Linked DNA regions of Oryctolagus cuniculus. The protein of the gene in region 1 binds, or shares a complex with, the protein of each later gene. Links are inferred from orthologs where the notes say so. Each region holds a gene or a part of one and is shown in the gene's direction. Other genes may lie near its edges.

The links. Proteins that work in one complex are often made in the same cells at the same time.
Region 2: the proteins of LTK (region 1) and ALKAL1 are in contact, whole or in part, in a crystal structure (PDB 7NX0), measured with the Homo sapiens proteins. The link is inferred for Oryctolagus cuniculus from reciprocal best matches to the Homo sapiens genes LTK and ALKAL1. Residues at the interface, in NP_002335.2 of Homo sapiens: Tyr124, His140, Phe143, Ala250, Ser251, Pro252, Glu253, Leu359, Phe360, Leu361, Gln362, Leu364, Ala365, Val366, Glu368, Glu372, Glu374, Arg376; in NP_997296.1 of Homo sapiens: His93, Arg96, Leu97, Asn100, Thr101, Arg102, Glu103, Arg112, Arg115, Leu116, Arg119, Leu120, Ser123.

The regions. Positions count from the first base shown.
Region 1 is NC_091443.1:64,598,334-64,602,745, reverse strand, and holds the start of LTK (leukocyte tyrosine kinase receptor), read left to right. Parts: upstream 1-1,603; 5' UTR 1,604-1,804; coding exon 1,805-1,847; intron 1,848-2,328; coding exon 2,329-2,472; intron 2,473-2,575; coding exon 2,576-2,747; intron 2,748-3,143; coding exon 3,144-3,294; intron 3,295-3,431; coding exon 3,432-3,578; intron 3,579-3,793; coding exon 3,794-4,208; intron 4,209-4,412. UniProt on the Homo sapiens protein: Receptor with a tyrosine-protein kinase activity. Following activation by ALKAL1 or ALKAL2 ligands at the cell surface, transduces an extracellular signal into an intracellular response.
Region 2 is NC_091437.1:77,162,983-77,167,077, reverse strand, and holds the start of ALKAL1 (ALK and LTK ligand 1), read left to right. Parts: upstream 1-1,251; 5' UTR 1,252-1,426; coding exon 1,427-1,616; intron 1,617-4,095. UniProt on the Homo sapiens protein: Cytokine that acts as a physiological ligand for receptor tyrosine kinase LTK, leading to its activation. Monomeric ALKAL1 binds to LTK, leading to LTK homodimerization and activation.

The DNA.
Region 1 (4,412 bases):
TCATGCTAGTCCAGGGTTGGTATGAAGGGGTGGGCTAACCCCAGGGAGGATCAGGACTGTTGGGGGAGGGGTTTGGGGGGAATCCTGAGTGGGAGGGGGCAACAGCCTGTGGGCCCCAGTGTACCTGAATACTCTTGGGAATGAGGGTCCCTCTGGAACTCAGCATTCCACTAGGATAGGTGTCCTTAGTGAGCTCAGCATCTACTCTGATGGCCCCCTGTGTGTGCCTGCTGCTATCCTGAGACATGAAGCCACAAAGACTGGGGCAGTGGCTGCCGGCATCAGCATTTGCACCGGGAACTTTCTGGGTGGTGGGCCAGAATGGGGGAGGGGTAGATGAAGCATACACTCAGACACTCCTCTTTATTCTGGTGGTTTCTATGTGGTTCTTTTCTCTGAATTCTAGCACTTAGGCTTTCTGATGTTGTTTGCTGTGTGGATTACTTATAACTGTTAGCAGGTCACCAGAGTGAGTGTAATGTGCCTTAACTCATCCTGTCAGTAGGTAGAAAGAACCCCTCCCCATATATGGAACTGCTGAACACAAAATGGTCCAACAGGTTTCATTAACCTTGTACGTACTGTATTTGCAAATAGCAATGGTTCTCAAATTTACCTGTCACAAACCACCATGTTAAGAACCAGTCGTTACAACAGGCGTTGTGCTGCCCTGTGTAAAGCCACTTGGGATGCCTGCAGCCTGCAAAAGTGCCAGGATGCCAACCCCTACTCCACTTCCAATCCAGCTTCCTGCAGATGTGCTTGAGAAGTAGCCGATGATAGCTCAGATCCTTGAGCTCCTGCGACCCACTGGGAAAATGGGATGGAGTTCCTGGTTCTTGACTCAGCTCGGCCCAGTCCTGGCCGTTGCAGCCATTTGGGGGAGTGAAGCAGTGGATGGAAGATTTTCCCTCTCTCTCTCCCTCCCTCCATCTCTCCCTCTCTCTTTGTGTGTATGTATATGTCTCACTCTGCCTTTCCAATAAATACATCTGAAAAACAAACATTGCTGAGTGCTGCCACAGAGGTTCGGGTTCAGTAGATCTGGGGTGAAAGTGGGGAATTTGCATTTCTAACAGGTTCTCAGGTGAAGCTGATTCCATTCTCCAGGACCAGCCATAGATGGAGGCCTTATGAAGTCAATTCTGTGACCTTGTAGAAGGCTTTCTACAGAGCACATCGGCACATGGGTATCAGAGTTTTGCAAAACCCAGTGTTCCATCTACACCCAGCAGTGCGGATGTACACTAAATCACTACCATAGTGGCTTTTTTTCAAGTGTGTTATATTAAGCACGGGCATCGGCCTTTGGTGGTGTTTTGGGCAAATGATTGAAGACAACACAGAAAGCCCTCCCAGCTGGGGGGTACCCGGTGGTTTACAGGGCGCCGACAGACACGGGTAAACACAGCGCCGGTGCCTTCTTAGGCGCGCTTTAGAGCGCTTGTCCAGCTCAACCACCTCCACCATCGAGGCGCACGCCGCGCTGCCGGTGTCCTGAGAAATCCCGAAGCCCCCGCAGGTGCCTGGGGTGAGGCTTGCGGCTTCCCCACGCGCCTGCCCCAGAGGGCGGTGCGCCTCCTCCCCGGCCCGCAGGAGCCCCTGGGCGGAGCCCCGCGACGCTCCTCCCGGAAGAGTGCGGACCTGGCTGCCCACAGGCCCCGCCCTTTCCTTCCTCGGCGTCCCGGGGTCTGAGGTGGGCGTGGCCAGGCGGCTTTAGGTACCCGGGCATCTCTGCGGCCGGACACTGGGGCCGCGGCTGAAGGACCAAGCCAGCAGCCCCCGCCCCGGCGAGGAACAGGTGATGGGCCGGTCGGGCCGGCTGCTGCTGTGGCTCGGCGCCGCGGGTAAGTGCCGTCTGGCAGTCCGGGGGCCGCTCAGGCCGGGGCGCCTTCCTGCTCCTGGGGATCGCGGTCGCCACACACCGGGTCCCGGTGGCTCCTCCAGAGGCCTGGAATCCTGGCGGCCCAAGCTCTCCGGTCTGTGCTCCTGGGGTGCGGGATCACGCATCTTGGGAAGGAGGGATAAACCCGGCGGTTTCAGCATCTCCCTGGGGCGGGCCGCAGTCCAAGCCCAGAAAAAGCAGGCAGCGCCTGCAGACCCACGGGTCATCACTGGCGACGGGCAGAGGTATCGGGCTCCGCGGGCCTGGCGGATGGAGCGGGGCTGCGCCGGCGTCCATGCTGGACATTGGGCATCGGCAGGGCGGGACTAGGGGTGTGGCCACGGGCAACCCGGGCGGGCTGTTGGGGGTTATCCCTCTTACCGCCTCCCCCATTACAATCCTACTCCCTATCCCAACACTGCTGTTTCCTTGTCACCTTCCAGGCGCCATTCTCTGCTCCAGCTCGGGGTCCCAAGCGCCTTCTCTGCCATCCTCACCACGGCCGCTGTCCATTCCCAGCGCCCAGGACCCAAAAGTCACCACCCGACCTGGCAGCTTGGAGCCACCCTTTCCCCTAAATCCCCTAGGTGAACTCGGGGCTCCTCTCTGCTCTTCTGCGCGCCATACCCAGACTCTCCCAGGCCGGGCCAGGGGCTCCGTGACCTCCTCCTCCCTTCCCGCTTCTCCCAGGCACCGAGGGGCCTTGGCTGTTCTCCACCTGCGGGGCCAGCGGCCGACGCGGCCCCACACAAACGCAGTGTGACGGGGCGTACGCGGGCAGCAGCGTGGCGGTGACGGTGGGCGCCGCGGGGCCGCTGCGAGGTGTGCAGCTGTGGCAACCGCCCGGCCCTGGGCAATACCTGTAAGTGCGGGTGCGGTGGGTGGGTGGTGACCCTCAGGCCCCAGATTGGGCAAGAAGGTCAAGCTCGGGCGACCTTGCGTTCTGAGGTCCTCCAAAGCGATGTCGGCCCAACCTGTGTGACCCCACCGCCTCTCCTTCCTAAGGAACCCGATCAGCCGGTACCGGGTCCCTAACCAGCCGCCGATGGCTTGAGTCTGCCCCGTCTCCATTAACTCCTGAAATAAACGTGAAATCGAAATCGTTGGTGTACAAACTTAGTCTTCCCAGCCCTTCAGAGTTGACTACATCCTCTCAATGGCCCCCAGATAAATCCTGGAGGTGCCCCGGGCTCCCACCTTTAGGCTAGACAGCGGGCGTGAGGACCCAGGCCGGAGCACTCAGAGTCGTGTCCCACAGGATCTCGGCTTACGGAGCCGCGGGCGGCAAAGGCGCCAAGAACCACCTGTCGCGGGCACACGGCGTCTTCGTCTCCGCCGTCTTCTCGCTGGGTCGCGGGGACCCACTTTACATCCTCGTGGGGCAGCAGGGAGAGGACGCCTGCCCCGGCGTAAGCGTCCCCGGCTCTGCTTACTCCTGGGCGGCTCGAATGCCCGGGGCGGGGGCCGGTGTGGGAATTGGGGTTGGGGGTCCTTCCCGAGGGGTGCGGACGCCAGCTCAGCCTGCCCCGATCCCTGGGGCCCGCAGGGGAGCCCGGAGAGCCGGCGCGTCTGCCTCGGAGAGTCCTGGGCGGCTGAAGAGCACGAAGCGACGGATGGGCCCGAAACGGTGCCTGGGTCGAGGCGCTGGGCCGGGGGCGGCGGGGGCGGCGGGGGCGCCACTTTCGTCTTCCAGGTAGGTGCCCCCGGCCTGGCCGCCCTCGCCCCGACTGCCCAAGGTTGAGTCCTGATCCTCTGCCCCAGTCGCGCACAGCCGCGCTCTGTCTGCTCCCGGAGGCCGCCCGCTCCCTGGCCCCAGCGGCGAGCCCTCCGTCCTCGTCGGAGCCCCGGGTCCTGGTCCTCCCTGGACGGCTGCGGGGCGCGCGCCTGAATGCGCGGCTGGCCCCACAGATGCGCGAGGGCGAGCTGGAGCCGCTGCTAGTGGCTGCCGGAGGCGGTGGTCGGGCCTACCTGAGGCGGCGGGACGGAGGCCGGACTCAGGCCGCCCCCGAGAAACTGGAGAACCGCTCAGCAGCGCCCGGGAGCGGCGGGAGAGGCGGGGCGGCAGGTGAGGGCGCGCGGCCGCGGGCAGGCGGGCGTGCACCGCATCCCCGCTGCCGGCCACCCTGCTGTTCCTCCGCAGGTGGAGGCGGCGGCTGGACTTCGCGGGCCCCCTCGCCGCAGGCGGGCCGCTCGCTGCGGGAGGGGGCCGAGGGCGGCCAGGGCTGCGCCGAAGCCTGGGCTGCCCTTGGCTGGGCCGCGGCCGGCGGCTTCGGGGGCGGCGGAGGGGCCTGCACCGCGGGAGGAGGCGGCGGCGGCTACCAGGGTAGGTGCACCGCTGGGGAGGCCGCTGGGCAGCCCCAAGGAGGGAAGCGTGGTTCGACCCTCAGAACAGGTCTGTTCCTCCCGGAAGCGAACTGAGTAGGAGCTTTTCAGATGGCAGATGCCACTAGCAAACAGGACTCCCTGGGTTTTCGTTTAAATTCATGACCTTTTGCATCTCAACAAATTCCCTGCTCGTTCCGCAGCC
Region 2 (4,095 bases), on another chromosome or scaffold:
GAATCCCTGAATCAATAGTGAAAGCTAACGTGAAACAAGACTTCTACTCATCTTTTCCGAGAGAGTAGCCTTTTTATCCAAGAAGGTACAAAATACGTATGTATGGAAATAGAGATGATTTAAACAAAATTTATGCTTATCAACAATTTTGGGAAGATGTAGTGATAGATTTTTTTGAATACTTATGCCTTTTAAAATTCTGTCTTCTTTTAAAAATGTTTGATTTTAAAAATGGAAATTGGAAGCTGCTGTCTCCACCTGTGTAACTCCCCCAAGCATTGCAGTTAAGACTTCTGTAAAACTTGCTCTTGCCCCTAGTTTCCTGGGCCTGATGGAATTGCCAAGCCTAGATAAACTATTGTACCAGTTGAGCTATGTTTTTCAAGGTTTGTGATGGACAAGGTCTCTTTGTAGAGTAATGCTGGGCAAGGACTCATGAGTGAAGAGACCTTGGTTTTTCTTGATTGCTCCTTCCCTGGACCCCCTATTTGCCACTTTGCATATGAGATCATTGGCAATCCATTGATTGACAAGCAGTTCCAACACTTTTCAATATTCTTGACAAAGCAGTCCCCAATAATTAACAGAACACAGTTTGATCACAGTTGCTCGCTTTATTTTGATAAGAACAGGTGGATTTAATCTCCGAGAATTCCCTAACTTGGAAACACTGCGTTCTTGGGGGTTCTGGTCGACTTCAGCGATTTCACCTGCCGAAGCGCTCAAACCGACGCTTCCCGTGGATGCCTAGGGTGGCGGGCAGTTGGGCGCCTATGGTTTGCGCTTTCAGCGACGCCCTGCCCCGGGGAGAACGCTGCCCTCGGAACCCGGGGTCCCTGCTGAAGAAAGTGAACTCCACACCTTTCCGCCTGCTCCCAGATTGAAAATTGGCGCAGTTTTCTCCCATCCAGACCTGGAAGCTGCCTGTTCTGTTCACCCCGCCGGTCCCGTGAAGCCGTGAACTGAGAGAGACTCAACAGAGCTGGGCGAGCGAGGGACTCAGTCCCACGAGAACCAGTGGTGCGACGCGGGGGACACGGAGACGGGGGATACAAGTGCGTGGTCCCGCGCCCCGGGCGGTGTTCGGAGGGAGCCCCGACGATCAGGCTGAGCCAGAGGCTCTGTCCGAGGGTCCCCTGTGCCGGGACACGCCCTTTTCCCCCCGGACTACCCCGTGGTCCCCGGGCGCCCCGCCTCCGTCCCCGCCCCGCGCCCCCGGGGCGCACATGCTCCGGCACGCACCGGGCTAAGTCCTAGTGCTTCCCCAGCCAGACGTGCTCCGGACGCAGGCGGGCAGGGAGGACTCCTTTCGGCCAGGTAGCGGAGATCTCGTTCCCGCCACCACTCTCCTGGGCTGCAGACTGTGCGGTCCCCGCCTCGGGATCCTCCGGGAACCTCCGGCACTCTCGCTCCTCCACGCGCGGACATGCGGCCGGCTAAGCCAGGCGCCCCGCTACCCGCGCTCCTCCTTCTGACTCTGGCTTTGTCCCCACACGGTACGCAGGGAAGGCCCCAGGGGCGCCGGGGAGCGCGTGTGGCGGGCGAGGAGCCAAAGACGTTGCTTTTTGTCCCCGCGGCCGGGGCCGGCCCCGCTCCCAGCGCCTCCCGGAGCGCAGGTAAGAGGGACGTCGTCTGCCCAACCCTTGGGTGTTACTGGGTTACTCTAGAAACCAGGCAGGGCGCTTGTTTTGGGAAGCCTGAATTAAGCAAGCAGAGAACAAACTCTCTGCAGATATCCAGCTCCTAGACGAAGAGATAATAGACTTAATCGATTTACCATGGTTGACACTTAAGTAACGAAATCCAGCTGGAAAAAGAATCAACTTGATATGCCCCCTTGCTAGGTGTGAGAGAGGCCTTTTTTGGAAATAATTGGCCGAGCAGCCGAAAGACCTGGGCTTCCATCCCACCGGCCAAGGGGGTAGTGGACAGGTTATTGTGCACCTGTGACTGCCTCATTTCTTGGTCTGCTGGGGTTTTGAGAATTAGCCAAGACTACTGCCCCCAGACACCTGAACGTGCCCAGATAGGCTCCTCTCCTCCATGCCTTCAAGCTGGCCCCATGAAGTGGTTGGCTGGCCACCCACTGCTCTGACTTAGGTCATTGTACAAGGGTCCCAAATGCTGCTGGCTGCTCCCAAATCAACTCTGCTCCTTAGATGCTTGAGGAGGAGGGGGTGACAAGGAGGGAGAGAAAGTGGACACTACAGACACGAGGGAGGGTCCTGAGACACCCAAAGGTGAAGAAGTGGTGTGCATGAGGAGGAAAGGGGGGCAGAGGGGATGACTGGGCTGTTGGATGGAGGGGAGGGGCAGGAAGGCAGGCTGTAGGAAACAAAAATTGCAGCTCCAACATGATTGTTGTTTAGACTCTGCAAAAACAGAGCAAGGTGGAGCTGCTGGCCCTGGCTGGGAGCAGAAGGACCCCTCTTTCAGCACCTCAGCGTGCCTGGCAGCTTCCACCTGGCCAATGTGCCACTTTCCTAAGGCCCCTTTGGCCACTTGTTTCCCTTTTAAGATAGCAAAGAAGGATTTCTTCCTATCGTTTTCTCTTCCATCATAGTTATGAATATACAAACAATATTTCCTCCAGAAATGTCCATCAAGTCCCTGTTACATGCCGTCATGTAGAGGGCTGAGGCTCCCCAGAGGAGCAGGTGACAGGTGTCTGCTGTGCCCCAGCACATTCTGGGTGTGAAAGTGGGTGGGGAAGGCTGCTGCACACAGAGAATGAATGAGTGGGCTGTTGAGGGGGAGTGAGAAGGCCTGGAAAGCTGGTGTGTGGAGGACCTGGGCAGAGCCTGTCACTCTGCCAGTGGAGAGCCCTTGGGACTAGAACAGGTGTGAGCCCAAATATTTATTTCAGAGACCAAGATGTCACTTAATCCAGACCATTTGTTTTGTTGAAGTCAAGTAGATATTTTCTCCTTGGTTTCAAGAGAAGTTGAGTTTGTTATGAGAGAAAATGGAGAATTTTATTAATAATGGCAATCATGAAAGTTTACAGAAAACAATGGAGCCTGGCAGAAACTGACCTGTGGGTCACCTTCAAAGCCCACTGCTTTTTTCCTTTAAGATTTAATTTATTGGGGCCGGTGCTGTGGCATAGCGGGTAAAGCCCCTGCCTGCAGTGCCGGCTTCCCACATGGCTGTTGGTTTGAGAGCTGGCTGTTCCACTTCTGATCCAGCTTTCTCCTGTGGCCTGGGAAAGCAGTAGAAGATGACCCAAGATCTTGGGCCTCTGCACCTGTGTGGGAGACCCAGAAGAAGCTCCTGGCTTCTGGCTTCAGATCAGCTCAGCTCCGGCCGCTGCAGCCAACTGGGGAGTGAGCCAGCAGATGGAAGACCTCTCTCTCTGCCTCTCCTTCTCTCTCTGTGTAACTCTCACTTTCAAATAAATAAATAAATCTTTAAAAAATTTATTTATTTACTTGAAGACAGCATCAAGGGGAGAGAGAGAGTGTGTTGCTGCTTCATTCCCTAAATGACTGCAACAACAGGTACTGGGCTAATCTGGAGCCAGGAGCTCCATCAGGGTCTCCCATGGGGGTGGCAGAGCATAATCACTTGGGCCATCACCACTGCCTTCCCAAATGTATTAGGGAGCTATATTGGAAGTGGAGCAGCCTGGACTCCTGCTGGCACTCACTCCAGTATTGGAAGGCCAGCACTGCAAGTGGTGGCTTAACCTGCTGTGCCACAACACTGGCTCTATCCATTGCTTTCTGTAACTGCTCATGATGGCCTCCTCTTTGGATCACTGTACTTTATTGATGTGGGGAGAAAAATGATGGCTTATTACAATCCTATCTCTGTGTATGGAACACTTGGATGTGAATCAGATACAAGCAGGATGTGAGAAAAGGACAAAGGACCCCTCTGGACACAGAGTGTGGCAGTGCTCATAGTTCATTCATCAGGGGGCATCTTCCAGCTCCTGGAGGCTGAGGAATCTCATCCCTAACAGATGATGCTGCAGTTCTGTCCCCATTACTCTGTAGTATCATCAACCAGGCCTAATGTAGGTGCCCAGGACTTTGCAATTCTTGCTGCATTTCCTTTTCAGTAGGTTCCACCTCTTCCCTGGACACGCAT